2 linked regions of the Stegostoma tigrinum genome follow. The protein of the gene in region 1 interacts with the protein of each later gene in a pairwise test. Links are inferred from orthologs where the notes say so. Each region holds a gene or a part of one and is shown on either strand. Other genes may lie near its edges.

Region 1 (6,922 bases):
GGCAACTACCCTTGTTGAAGAGCCTGAGTTACTCAGCATCTTCATTTCATGGTTTGGGAGAATTTGTTTCAACAGATGACCTTTCAACATCACACCAGCATCTTTCAGGGATCGTATCACATTTCCAAGGAGGATTGGAGGGAGTTATATGTCACATGGATGACGTTGTGATCTATGCGTCTACTCAGAACATGACACTGGAGTGAAGTGTGAACTATGCTGCAGTATTTACAGGAAATGTAATGACTGTTTAGTTCCTTTGGCCTAATATAGTTACATCCAGTGTCAGAGTTGACAAAGAGGGATAAAGCAATCAAAGAGTTTCCAGCTCCTCAGAACTTGACTGAGCTCCACAGATTTGTGGGATTAATAAGCCAAGTCAAAACCTAGCTGTCATCACAGAGCCACAATGTATTACAATATGTACAACTATTACAATATGGCAAGACAAGGTGCTGAGAAGCACAGAACTTCTTTTGAAGAAAATCAGATCACACAATATTTTAGCTCAATATGACCCAGAACTACACATCATTATGGCTGCGAACCCACGTTCTACAGAACTGGGAGCTACACTGTTTCAGATAAAGCCTGATGGAAAGTGTAGCTCAATTTATTACACCTGTTCCATGACAGACAAATGATAAACAAAGATATGCAGTGATAAGGAAAGACTCATTAGACACTACAGATTCGTGGAAAGTTCAAATTACGTTACTGGTCTTCACTATACAATGGAGATGACCAGAAACCCTTTAACAACAGTTTTAAATTCTAAGGAGTTGACTAAAATGCCATCATGAGTGCAATGATTCAGACTGAAGATAATGTAATTTGATGCAAAGACAGCACATATTCTGGGGAAACAACAGATGCTTTGTCACACATTTTCTCATGGCAAGTCCTGAACAAGGTGATGTGGTTTTCGTTAAAGTGGTGGAAACCTTTACATCAAAAGGAACCAAACTCTTCCAACAATAATTCAGCAGTTAAATGAAATCAGAGATGGACAGAAAACTGATGGAGAATGTGTGCAGGTCAACAATACCACGCCAAAGGATAGCCAACGTACATGTCACACAAACCCATTCTCGGACTGTATAATGAGGGAGGACATAGCTTAGTACGGTGGATGATCTACTTCTTGTGACGAGAGGTCAGTTATTCTGAGAGTCCTCTGAGACTTGATAAACTTCACCAATTACAGAGAGGACATCTGGGCATCAGAAAATGTCAAGCCAGAACAAGACATTCTGTTTGCTGACCATGTCAAAAATTAATAGAAGAGATCATATCAGGCTGTATTACTTGTAAAGTTTATTGTCAGGAGAACCATTAATATCATCTTCCTATCCATCCAGGCCATGAGAACATCTTGGGGTGGACCTCTGAACAAAGTAAAATGAAACGATAGATATGTCAAGGAACTCCATGGCCACAGTGATTACATGGCTGAATGAGATAGCTGCAACACAGGATATCCCAGAATTTATCATCATGGCAGGCCGCAGATTGGCAACATTTTGAAGAGGTCACAGCATCACATGCATGTGTCCAAACTGCAAGCTTAACAAGGCACCCTCAAGCCAATAGTGAAGCTGAATGAGGAATGTAAAAACACTGAAGAACAACATTTAACGTGAGCTATCATATCACTCCAAAATAGTTCAGCTTTGTGTCAACTCTTCCTTGGAAAGATAAAGAACCAAATGCTATGGGATAAAGTTTCATATGACCTAATGTCATCCAAATGTTTCTCTTGCAATCTCACGGCCAGACGAAGCTAGTTCTATGTTTCTTAAAATAACGTTAACGTTTCTTTAGCTCAACATACGCTAAGTATTCAACGGAAGATCGAAGACTTTAATGCCATGAGGTTGATTCCCAACATAACTAACTTTGCCGCACTTTCTTTAAATTAATTGTGGCGAATGGCAGCAGCTGTGTTTGCACTAAAGCATTCCAGAAGTCCACTCAGATTCTTTTACCCCCTCATAAAAAAAAGACAGAAATGAAACTAAATTCAGGAAACAAAGCCCCATTCATAAATTTTAACAGTTCTAAAATTGTGCTAAGAGGATTTGAAAAAAACCCATTGGGGGACGGTTGAGTGAGGTTATGGTTCGTGTAAACAATAGTAACCGCGTGCGCGCGGGAGGGAAACTAGAAGCTTTATTGCACACGTCCACACACAAAACTGACATTCGAGAGGCAGAAAAAATCCTTTTAAACAACAGCTACTTGGAGCTGGTATCCTAAAGTCCCACAGCCAGTGCACCTTTTTACAGAACACTTCTTTTTAACCCTTACAGTGCCTCAAACCTGCGCAATGCATGTTAAGAGATCAAGTCCTCATCCCTTTTCTTCTCTATCCTCAATTCACCCCCACCCAACCAAAAAAGCCGGGACACTTGTTCGAGACTCTTCCCACCCACTACATTAAATCGATGCTGAGTTTAGGCACGAATGCTTCCGCTAGGAGTCTATTTCCTTCTGCAATTTAAATAATGCGATGCTCAAAATAACCATCGCTCCCCTGTCCCTGGAGGGAGAAAGCCAAAAAAGAAAGAGAGCTTGCTTCGCTGCAGGTTTGCGCGCCGCGAAGTGAGCACGAGCCGCTGGCCCGGATCCGCGAGCCGGACCCGGAGCGTTCTATCCGCGTCACGTTCCACGCCGCTTTGCAACAGTGGCTGCAAAAGGATACAGTGTATCCCAACTAATGGATACACAGAGGGAGAACCCAGCCGGGACTCCCCAAACAACTCCGCACAACCCCACATATGCTATCACTGCGTACTGCCAATGAAAACCTGCCGCAAATTATTAAAGCCCTACAAGCAGGATATTAAATAACGCCGCCGGCAATGTTTAAATAGAAACCCTGATGCATATTCAACACTGCAGCCGCCCCTCAACTTTTGCAAAGAGAAACAATTCCTCCACCCCCCCACCAATACACACCCCATGTCGTTTCTTCGCTCTGTTCCCCCCCGCTTGCGCTCTCACTCATATCACACACAAGCTTTTGGCGCCATATTAATGACGTACTATATTATTTCCATCATCAGCGACCTTCGGAATTAAATTGCTGAACTAAAAGCCCCTTTGCAGGCCAAACTCGGCCAAGAACGGAAAAGACATCAAAAGCTTGACATTTTTTTTAAATCTCAGATCTCGTCCTCTCTGCTTTCTCTTTCCTCCGTACTGTACTCCCCATCGTCCTGCTTTTCTTTCCTCCACAATTATTTACAACCCCCCCTTAAATAACGAGCCCAAAAACGCTTAGAAAGTATTGAAAGAGGACAGTACCTGCTGTAATATTTTTGTGTGTGTTTGTATTTGTTTTTGCTTTAAAGCTGGTCTGTTGAGGTGAAACTGGATAGAAATGAAGATTTTTTTGAATGTGGAGTTCAAACAGCTGCAGTAGCAGATTGTGGCTCCCTCTATCTCTCTTTCTCGCTCCCTCTTTCACATATGCACTGACTGACGTTGGTCCTTATGGTGGAGTTGGTTGGGTGAAGGAAGAATTCTGTCTTCTCTTTCTGTTAGTCCACACTTGCTGCCAGACGAGGGAGCACTCCCATGTCTTGTCAACAGCATTACTGTAAACCTCCTTTGCAATCTAGCTTTCGTTTTCCACAGAAAAAAATTCTAAAACTTGATACCTTGTTTAACGTGCGAATTTCAAAAATATGTTCAGGAAGGAGGGTATTTTTTTAAAATGATGCAGTTCTGTTCATACTATGTAGCAAATAAGCTGTGAAGAAGGAATTTGCATCTAATGCCATTTACAACGCATTTTGGAAGCATTAATCCCTTTTCACTGAACACTAAGTGACATCAAGAGTTTAATTGTTATCCATGTTGCGGGTCAGTGCCCTAGCTTTCCTGCATGTTGAAAGGCATGGGTCGGTCCGGATTACATGTTTTGCGAATGGGTACGTTCTATTTGCTAGAAGAAAAAATTGTGACGTCCGAATTTGTGGCCAGAAAATGTGATTTTTTTGTGAAAGAAGAGTAATTACAGGAATGTATTCGATGTCCTTTTCTTTCACTGTCACCTGCAGTATTGTTCAGGTGAAATTGGAGGACGTGGCATTGTAGAGAAGGAGGGAAATGTTGGTACTGCACCGTATTGGGTGAGGGAAGAGGAAATGTTGGCATAAACATCGAAATGCTAGACAAACTGGGCAGGTCTTTTCAGCATCCTCTGAGTGGAAAACAGAGTTAACGTTTCGATTCCGATATGACCCTTCTTCGAAACTCTATTTTCAGATTTCCCGAGTATTCTGCTTATATTTAAGAGAATATTTGCATTTCACTTCAAACAGGCAGGTTTGCTGTTGCTGAAATCGGGGGAGGTCTTCAGGGTTGACAGCAAGTTAAATCCGAAATTGCTGGCTTTGGAGTGAGGCGGAGTTCTTGATGTTCGACAACACGTGGGAAGGGAATATCTCGAAGATCGAGCATGTGAAATAGGAGTGCAACTGATTCGTTTCAGCGAAAATGAAATAAAAACTGCGGGTGCTGAAGGTCTGAAACAGAAAACTGCCGGCGGAATTCAGCAGGTCTGTCCAATTTGTGGGAAGAAAGGAGAATTAACGTTTCGAGTCCAGTGACGCTTCATTAGAACCGATAGTAGTTGGGAAAATGTGGTATTTATGCTAAAGACTAGGTTGTGGAAGCAGGAGATGGGCAGATTGGTCCAAGTGTGTGCGTGAGAGAGAGAGAAGCAAGAAAGCGGGAAGTAAACTACTGGATTATGGATAACAAAGTGTGGAGCTGAATGAACAAGCAGGCCAAGCAGGATCTTAGGAGCACAAAAGCTGACATTTCGGGCCTAGACCCTTCATCACAAAAGGGGGATGGGGAGACCTGTCCGACCACCCTGGACTGACCTATCCCCACCCATACTCTCCTCTCCACTTCTCTTCTCCTCTATCCTTCTGCGGTCCGCCTCCCCCTCTCTCCATATTCATTTCAAAACCCTCTCCCCATCCCCCTTTTCTGATGAAGGGTCTAAGCCCAAAACATTAGCTTTTGTGCTCCTAAGATGCTGCTTGGCCTGCTGTGTTCATCCAGCTCCACACTTTGTTATCTTGGATTCTCCAGCACCTGCAGTTCCCATTATCTCTGATCACAATTGTAATCTTACTGCGATGCCTCCTCCAGGATGCCTAACCTGAAGAAGTTACCCTCCTCCCTCGGAACCAACCTCAGGTGATCTCTCTCCCACTGCAACTCTCTTGTCATCTCCCCTCCCCCCACTGCATCCCAAAACCAGCCCAGCTAGTCCCCGCCTCCCTAACCTGTTCTTCCTCTCACCTATCCCCTCCTGCCACCTCAAGTGGCACCTCCATTTCCTACCTACTAACCTCATCCTGTCCCCTTGACTTGTCCATCCTCCCCAGACTGACCTATCCCCTCCCTACCACCCCACCGATACTCTCTTCTCCACCTATCTTCTACCCGATCCATTTTTGGTCTGCCTCCCCCTCTTTCCCTATTTATTTCAGAACCCTCTCCCCCTCCCTCTTTCCTGATGAAGGGTCTAGGCCTGAAACGTCAGCTTTTGTGCTCCTGACATGCTGCTTGGCCTGCTGTGTTCATCCAGCTCCACACTTTGTTATCTCGGATTCTCCAGCATCCACAGTTCCCATTATCTACTGGATTATAGATGCTAGTCGAGGACAGAAGGGAAAGTAGCTCATTAAATGATAATAAGAGCGTAGGGGAGCAGAGATCCGGTAGTCTGTGCTGAACAAACCACGTCATGGAACCATTGAGATCTATGTCATGACAGAACTGGGTGCAGGGTTGGATATAAATACATTGAAGAATGGAAGCAGGCTGTAAAGTTTATGAACGCAATGTTGAGCCCTAGAGGATGCAATGTTCCCAAGCGGAAAATGAGACACTGTTCTTTCAACTTGTGCTGAGGATCGCTGGAACACTGCAGCAGGCCTGCGGCAGAAATATTGGTGTGGAAACATGGTGGTGTGTTGAAGTGGCGGATGACTGAAAGCTGTGGGCCATTTTCATACCTCTTTCTCTCCGGGCTCCGGGCTCAACAAAATGATTTGGTTGTGATGTTACTGTTTTCCATTAAAGCAAAAGTAAACATCATTTGCTGTAGTTACTTGCTCTTTATCAACCAGAAATTCTCTCCCAAGTTAAAAAAAAGGCATTTGATAGTTTAAATCTGAGCCTTTATCTGAAAAAAACATTTAAACTGCATTCTTCATTTTGTTTGCAAATTACTTATCAAAGCAAAGAAATTCAGGGGTCGTCGTACAACACAAAGGAAAAGCATTGCCGCGTTGCGGATCTGGCAACACCCAGCAAGTAGCTCCTTAAACATCTATCTCAATCTCTGCCCATCCTTTCTGTTATCAGAATAACTTCTAATATCCACAAGGCTCCACCTGCTTTATGAAGACCACTATCATCCTGGTGCCAAAGAAAACTCATGCAGTATGACTCAATGACTACCACCCCATGGCTCTGGCCTCCATAATTATGAAGTACTTTGAGAGGTTAGTAGTGGCTCACATCAACACCTGCCTGCCAAATTGCCTTGACCCTTTGCAACTCATCTACCAGCACAACAGGTCCACGGCAGATGCCAGCTTCCTGGCCCTACCCTCATCCTTAGTACACCTGGATAAAAAGGATACCCACATCAGGCTCCTACTTATTGACTTCAGCCCTCCCTTCAAGAGCATAATTCCAAACAAACACATCTCTAACTTTCAAGACTTAGGTCTTTGCTCCCCCAGCTGTAACTGGATCCTCTATTTCCTAACCCATAGACTGCAATCAGTAAGAATAGGTAATAACAACACTTCAGTCATAATCCTCAACACTGGTACCCTGCAAGGCTGCATACTCAGCCCTATAATGTACTCCTTATACACTCATG
Region 2 (7,006 bases), on another chromosome or scaffold:
GAGGAACAGAGAATTAAAATTGAATGATTGAGTTTGTTTTCCCCCTAGACAGTAGCTGTGGAAGAGTTTGTCAGCTGGTATAACAAATGCAGATTTACCGCATTCTCGGCTGTTTTTTATGTAGAAGGCCATATCATGACAGATTTAGGAACCTGGTAACATAAATTGTGAGTATACAATGATCCACAAAGGTTGGGGACATATCTTCCACTGTCTATTTACCCAATGATGCTACGATACTGGGACAGAATGTGGGACACATTATGTGCAAGCTAGTGGAGAAATCATATCAGGTAATTGCTTGTGAATGCTAACACTTTAATTTCCATTATTAAATTAAACTTATTATTAAACAATGTAAGCAATACACATTCTTTAGGGCATACAAAATTAATTCAAAGAGGTTAGCAGGTGAGATGTTGATGAGCAGCTTGTGCCTACCTCATGTTGAAAGGAGCCATTAATCGGACCACATACTGACGATCTTTGGGAAGTTTGAGTTTTGGGATTTTTGACGGATCAAAGTCCGGTGGGTAGTATTTCTGTTGGAAAGAAAAGAAACACAGTCATCAGCATTCTTTTAGGAATCGTACAGTTTCCTGTTCATTTGTATGCTGAAAAAAGTGATGGATGTTAGAATTCAGAGAGGTATTCAAGCATTTGGTTCATTGGTAAACAGAGTTCCTCCACTGTCCAAATTTCAGAACAGCACACCAGCAGCACTAAAAATTTATCATTTTAACCCTTTAGCCATTCTGTTGACTCTACCACTTGGTACAAAATAAACTGCAGTTTTATGCATTCAATCAACATGTTCGGAATTAGTCTGATACTGCCTGGGCTCATTTCACATACAGCTCTTCCGACCAGTTCATCAGATTCTAGGTTTATTTGTTTCCAAAAAAGATAATGAAATTGGCTAAAAATTAATTCAGTAAAATCCAACCAAATTACAGGTCATGTGTTACCATGAGCACAAACAGACCTTTCTGATAATTTGAAATACCTTTCATGGATATCTTTGATAGGAATATGTTGGACAATGAGGTTACAGATTGTAGTTAAACATAATTCAGTTGTCGCTGGTGGCTTACAATGCCTCCAGGTTTGAATTGCTGGATCTGTTTGAAATATGCTCGAATTAGCACAGTGATAAAGTCACATGACACAAGGATATCCTCAATGAGAAGAGGATTCTGTCTTAACAAGGATGAATCAGGCTTATCATTTATAGAGTCATAGAGCACAGAAACAGACCCTTCAGTCTGATCAGTCGATGCCGAACATAATAGTTCCACCTACCTGCTCCTGGCCCATATCCCTCCAGACCCTTCCCATTCATATATCTATCCAAATATCTTTTGGACATTGGAACTGTACTTGCATCTACCACTTCATCAGGAAGTTCGTTCTACACGTGAACCACCCTCTGTGTAAAACACTTGCCTCATATCTATATAAAATCTCTCTCTTCTCACCTAGAAATGTGTCCCCTAGACTTGAAATCACAAAATCTAGGGAGAAGACAAATAACATGAATTCTATGTATACCTCTCATTATTTTATAATTTTTTATCAGGTCATCTCTCAACCTCCTACGCTCCAGTGGAAAAAAAGTCCCAGCCTACCCAGCCTTCCTTTACAACTCAAACCTACCATTCCTGGCAACATCCTGGTAAATCTCTTCCGAACCTTCTCCAGCTTGATAATATCCTTCCTATAACTAAGCAGCCAGAGCTGGACACAGTATTCCAGAAGAGGCCTCACCAATATCCTGTACAATCTCAATGTAAAGTCCCAACTCTTACACTCAAACGACTGAGCAATGAAGACAAATGTGCCAAATGCCTTTTTAACCACCTTGTCCACGTGTGACACAAACTTTAAAGAATTATGCACCTGCATCCATAGGTCCCTTCATTGTACAACACTACCCAAGGCTCCACCATTATTTGTATAAACCCTACCCTTGTTTGTTGCACCAAAACGCAATACCTCACGTTTATCCACTGAACTCCATCTGCCATTTTTCAGCCCATTGGCCCATTTGATCAAGATCCCTTTGTAATCTTAGAAAACCTTCTTCACTGTCTACAATGTCAATTTTAGTGTCATCCGTAAACTTACTAATCAAGCTTTCTATATTTGAGAGCACTAACAGAACAAGCATGTATGAAGAGACTCTAACCTGATGAAAGAGTGCAAGTACAATATCTGCTATTAGAAAAAAAAACATATTTATACAGATTTTAAAATGCTTAATTAAGCACAATTGAAAATGATATTTTTGTTACCTAAGCAAAAAGATTACAACAATGCAAATAAACGCTTATTAATAAGGGAGAGGACGCAAGAAGAATGATGTACAATTCTTCCAAAAAAATACTAACTGGAGGTTTAAAGGGGCTTCAGCTGTAAAGCAAACCCAGCTTTATTCCATCACAGATGGACTGTCTGATGTGATTATAGTACACAGAACACTGCAGCACAGCACAGGCCCTTTGGCCCTCGATGTTGCGCCGACCTGTGAAACCAATCCGAAGCCTACCAAACCTACACTATTCCATTATCATCCATATGTTTATCCAACGTCCATTTAAATGGACTTAAAGCTGGCGAGTCTAGATGTTCAGTGAGCCTTGGATTTTCGTATGTGAAGGATGGGTGCTGTTCACTGGAGCCAACTGCACCCACTGGGGAACACACACACAGGCAGGGCCCATCTGGGGGGCGCGGGGGTATAATTTGGGACTCACTGGGGTCCCACTGCCAGGCGAGCTGTCCTGGGCTGGTGCTCAGTCTCAGGTGCTAACACCAACGGCCCCACAGGGTGGGGATAGGAACGGGGGGGGTTGTCAGCGGTCACTTTCTGTGTCCAAACACACCCCCAACATTCACATTCTCACTCTCCCCCTCAACCCCACTCACATTCAACACTTTTCTCTCCGACATCTTTCACGAGCCGATGATCTAGGCCCCGCCCCTATTCCGCGCCCATTGGTTCGCATCGCCACCCTTTCCCGCTCCCAATGGTTAATGCAACTGTCAGTCAGCGGCTGCCGGAAGCCGCTCCGCCTGTGCTCCGGCCGGACACCAGCCGTCGTTCCGGTCTCGATCACCAGTTTAGTTATTTCACATTTTTCTCACGTTATTTTTTAGCCGACAAAAGTTTTTTTTGCCAATTTACCGAAACTATTGACATCTCTCTGTAAGCTGTTTGTACCCCTCTCGCAATTTGCCGTTCCATTTATTTTTCAACTGTATTTTCCACCGAATATAACCAGTATCCCTCTATTCCTGTTAAATATTGTACCATATGATGCAAGATGTTTGATGGAATTAACTCACAAAATGTTGAAAAGTTTCCATGCTTTGGGAAGAAGGAATGCCACCATTTTAAATACATAGTCAGAAATCGGACAACACCAGGTTACAGTCCAACAGGTTTATTTGAAATCACAAGCTCTTGCAGGGCTACCCCTTTGTCAGGTGAAGCTTACAGACACAACATTCTTTGGGTAGATATCCTCCAAGGCAGCCTTTGGGATACACAGCAACACAAAATCGCGGACCAGAACCTGACAGTCAAGTAACGTTTCCATGAAGACGGCCTCAACCGTGATCTTGGGTTCATTTCGTGCTACATGTAACCCCACCGCACTGTTCTGTATCTGTAAAATCTTCCTTACTGCCTTGTCTTATCACCATAACCTTGTTAAAGTGCTATGATCTCGCTACTTTTATTAGTTTGTGCAGTTTTGGGATTACTTATTACTTTGATTAGGCTTTGGCATGCGACTCATACCTATCATGTTATTCTAATCATTTGGTTTGTCTCTGCCACCACCTTATTTTTAATTTTTTTGTTATTATCTCTCTGCCTCATTTAATCAGATTATAGGTCATCCCTTCACTTGTTATTCTGCTGTTGACACTTTACTCACACCATCTGACTCTTGATCACCTACAGAGACTTATTATTTGGCCTGACCACACTTCATTCACACCTTTTAGATGATCTTTTGATCTCTGTACCATCGATTTGTCTGCCTATAAATTCTGTGCCTGTTTGGTCTGCTGTCTCATTTCAGCTGACGAAGGGATTGTCTTCCAAAAGCTTGTGATTTCAAATAAACATGTTGGACTATAACCTGGTGTCATCCAACTTCTGATCTTGTCCAACCCATTCCAACACCAACCCCTCCATATTTTGAATACACAGAGACTAGCTACCCCTAGTCCTGAACCAGGTATTAATTTGTAGAATCATAAAGATATAAATAAGTTGCTATGTTTCACATTCACTTTATCCCTCAGTCTCCTGTAACGATTTGACCCTCTTTGACTGCAGTCCTAGTGCCAACAGCCAAAACCTTATTCTTCATGCGTTAATCCAGACATCAAGCCACAATAGGCTATTTGACTGCAGTGGGCATCAGGTAACCAAGTCAAGTCATCTCCACCTGAGAATGTATCTCACCAGTGTGGGCTGGATAGTGATCATAATTTGAATTATCTTCTTCCTTCCCAGCCTGGAGTTGTAACCTTAAAGATTCATTTAAAAAAAGAAAGAAAATTTTTCATTTACATAGTGACATTGACAACTTCAGGATTTGTCACAAGCTTTCCTGTCAACCTGCCTTTCAATCTATTTTTATATCGTTTGCAGATTTGGTTCCAGCACATTCACTTTTTGTCTCCAGGTCTCTGATATATATTGCAAACAGTTGCACTCCCAGCACCGATTCTTGTGGAACCCCAGTGTTTACAGGTTACCAATGTGAAAAAGAACCCCTGATACCCACTCGCTATTTCCTGCCCATTAGCCAATTCTGTACCCATGCTAATGATACTGTAATAATACTGTACCAATACTCACTCATCTCAATCTACATGGACGAGGACAACCACCAATTCGACTGGGACAACACCAAGACCCTGGGACTGGCTAGGCAGAGACAAGCACGAGAATTCCTGGAAGCATGGCACTCCACGAAGCATGCTATTCATCAACACATTGAACTCGACCCCATATACATTCCATTACGAAGGAAACCCGGGGTGATGCAATCCATCTTTACGGACCCCAGCGTTTAAAAACCAGGTGGGAAAACACACTGACACTTCATCAGACGCTGCACTGAGAATGTTATCAAGCATGGCAATGAAATGTCTGCAAAGCAACAAACCAGCTTGGTGAGCCAACCAACCTCAATGCTAATATACTACCTCCAACACTTTGGGCTCTTATGACATAAACTTTTTTGAGATACCTTGTCAAATGCCTTCTAGAAGTCCAAATACAACACATCTGGTTCCCCTCTATCCACTCTTGGTGAAACATCGTCAAAAAAGTCTGATAAATTAGACATAATTGTCCTTTCATAAAGCTGATTTTGTTTGAGTTAATTATGATTTTCCAAATGTTCTGCTTTTACTTCCTTCATAAATGATTCCAGTATTTTTCCAATAAGCGATGTTAGGCTAATCGGCTTATTGTTAACCTCTTTTGCCTCCCTCGTTTTTTGATTAGGGGTGTCACATTGGCAGTCTTGCAATCCTCAGGTATTTCTCTAGAATCCAGTGACTTTTGGAAAATTATAACCAATGCAGCCACTATCTGAGTGGATACTTCTTATAGGATCCTCGGATGTAAGCCATCAGTGGGCCAGGGACTTCTCTGCCTTCAGCTCCATTAGTTTATCTAACACTACTTCTCTAGTGTTGGTATTTAATTTCTCTCTACATCCTTTACTATTAATGGAATTGTTCCACTATAAAGACTGATGAAAAATATTTGATTAACTTCTGCCATTTCCTTGATCCCCATAACTATCTTCCCAGAATTATGTTCTAAAGGTCCTATGTTCACTTTGACCTCTCTTCTTTTTGTATTTATTTAAAGAAGGTCTTATTGCCAGATGTTACATTCCATGCTAATCTGCCCTCATGAACTGTGGCTAATAGATTTGTCCAAACCATAGAATCAGAGAAGCCTCATGGTGCAGAAGGAGATCGTTACGCCACTCTGTACCTTACTGATCTTCCAGCATGGCGTTGTCTTTGACTGAGTGTTACAGACTTGCGCATTCCAAAGTCCGGGATTACAGGCTGAGGGATATGCTAAAGCTTCAGATAGCTGCTGCAGAGGTGAAGTGCAGAAAAGTCATTCAGGTTGTTGAGTAGATTTGTAGCTTGGGTTGTGAATGCTGTGGTTGGTTGGCTCACTGAGCTTGTTCATTATTCCGCAGACATTTCATTACCCTGCTGGGTAACATAATCAGTGCAGCCTCCAATGAAGCACCGTTGTGTTTTCCCACCTGGTATTAAAACTCTGGTTTCTGTTGGATTTGATTACCTCATTTCCGGTTTTCCTTCGCAGTGCTGTATATATATAGGGTCTAGTTCTATGTATTTGTTGTTGGTCCTCTTGGTGGAGAACCAAGCCTTTAGAAATTTCTGTGCTTGTCTCTGTTTGGTCTGTCCTAGGATCCTGGAGTTGTCCCAATCGAACTGGTGGTTCTCCTTATCCATGTAAATGGAGATGAGTGAGTATTGCTTGTGTCTTTTTGTTGCTAGTTGGTGTTCATATAAAAAAAAATGACCAATACTCACTCATCTCCATTTACATGGATAAGAAGAACCACCAGTTCGATTGGGACAACACCAGGGACTTCTAGAGGCTTGGTTCTCCACCAAGAAGACCATCAACAAATACATAGAACTAGACCCTATATATATACAGCGCTGCGAAGGAAAACCAGAAATGAGATAATCAAATCCAATGGACCCCTGAGTTTAAATACCAGGCAGGAAAACACAACAGCGCTTCATCGAGGCTGGAGTGATGATGTTACCCTGCAGGGTAATGAAATGTCTGCGAACGACCAAACCAGCTCGGTGAGCCAACCAGCCACAGAAGAGCCACGATCTAACACCTTTAGCTGGAGCACACTGAGTCTGGAGGCTGTAAAAGCATTTGGTTGTGTGCCTGACGAGGAATGTA

The links.
Region 2: the proteins of jade1 (region 1) and yju2 interact in a two-hybrid assay, tested with the Homo sapiens proteins (2 studies listed by BioGRID and IntAct). The two-hybrid records come from large-scale screens. The link is inferred for Stegostoma tigrinum from reciprocal best matches to the Homo sapiens genes JADE1 and YJU2.

Annotation. Positions count from the first base shown.
Region 1 is NC_081354.1:19,716,870-19,723,791, reverse strand, and holds the start of jade1 (protein Jade-1), read right to left. Parts: upstream 3,023-6,922; 5' UTR 3,011-3,022; coding exon 2,962-3,010; intron 1-2,961.
Region 2 is NC_081383.1:33,067,374-33,074,379, forward strand, and holds the start of yju2 (splicing factor YJU2), read right to left. Parts: upstream 3,015-7,006; 5' UTR 2,953-3,014; coding exon 2,929-2,952; intron 2,684-2,928; exon of another isoform or gene 2,558-2,683; intron 543-2,557; coding exon 442-542; intron 1-441.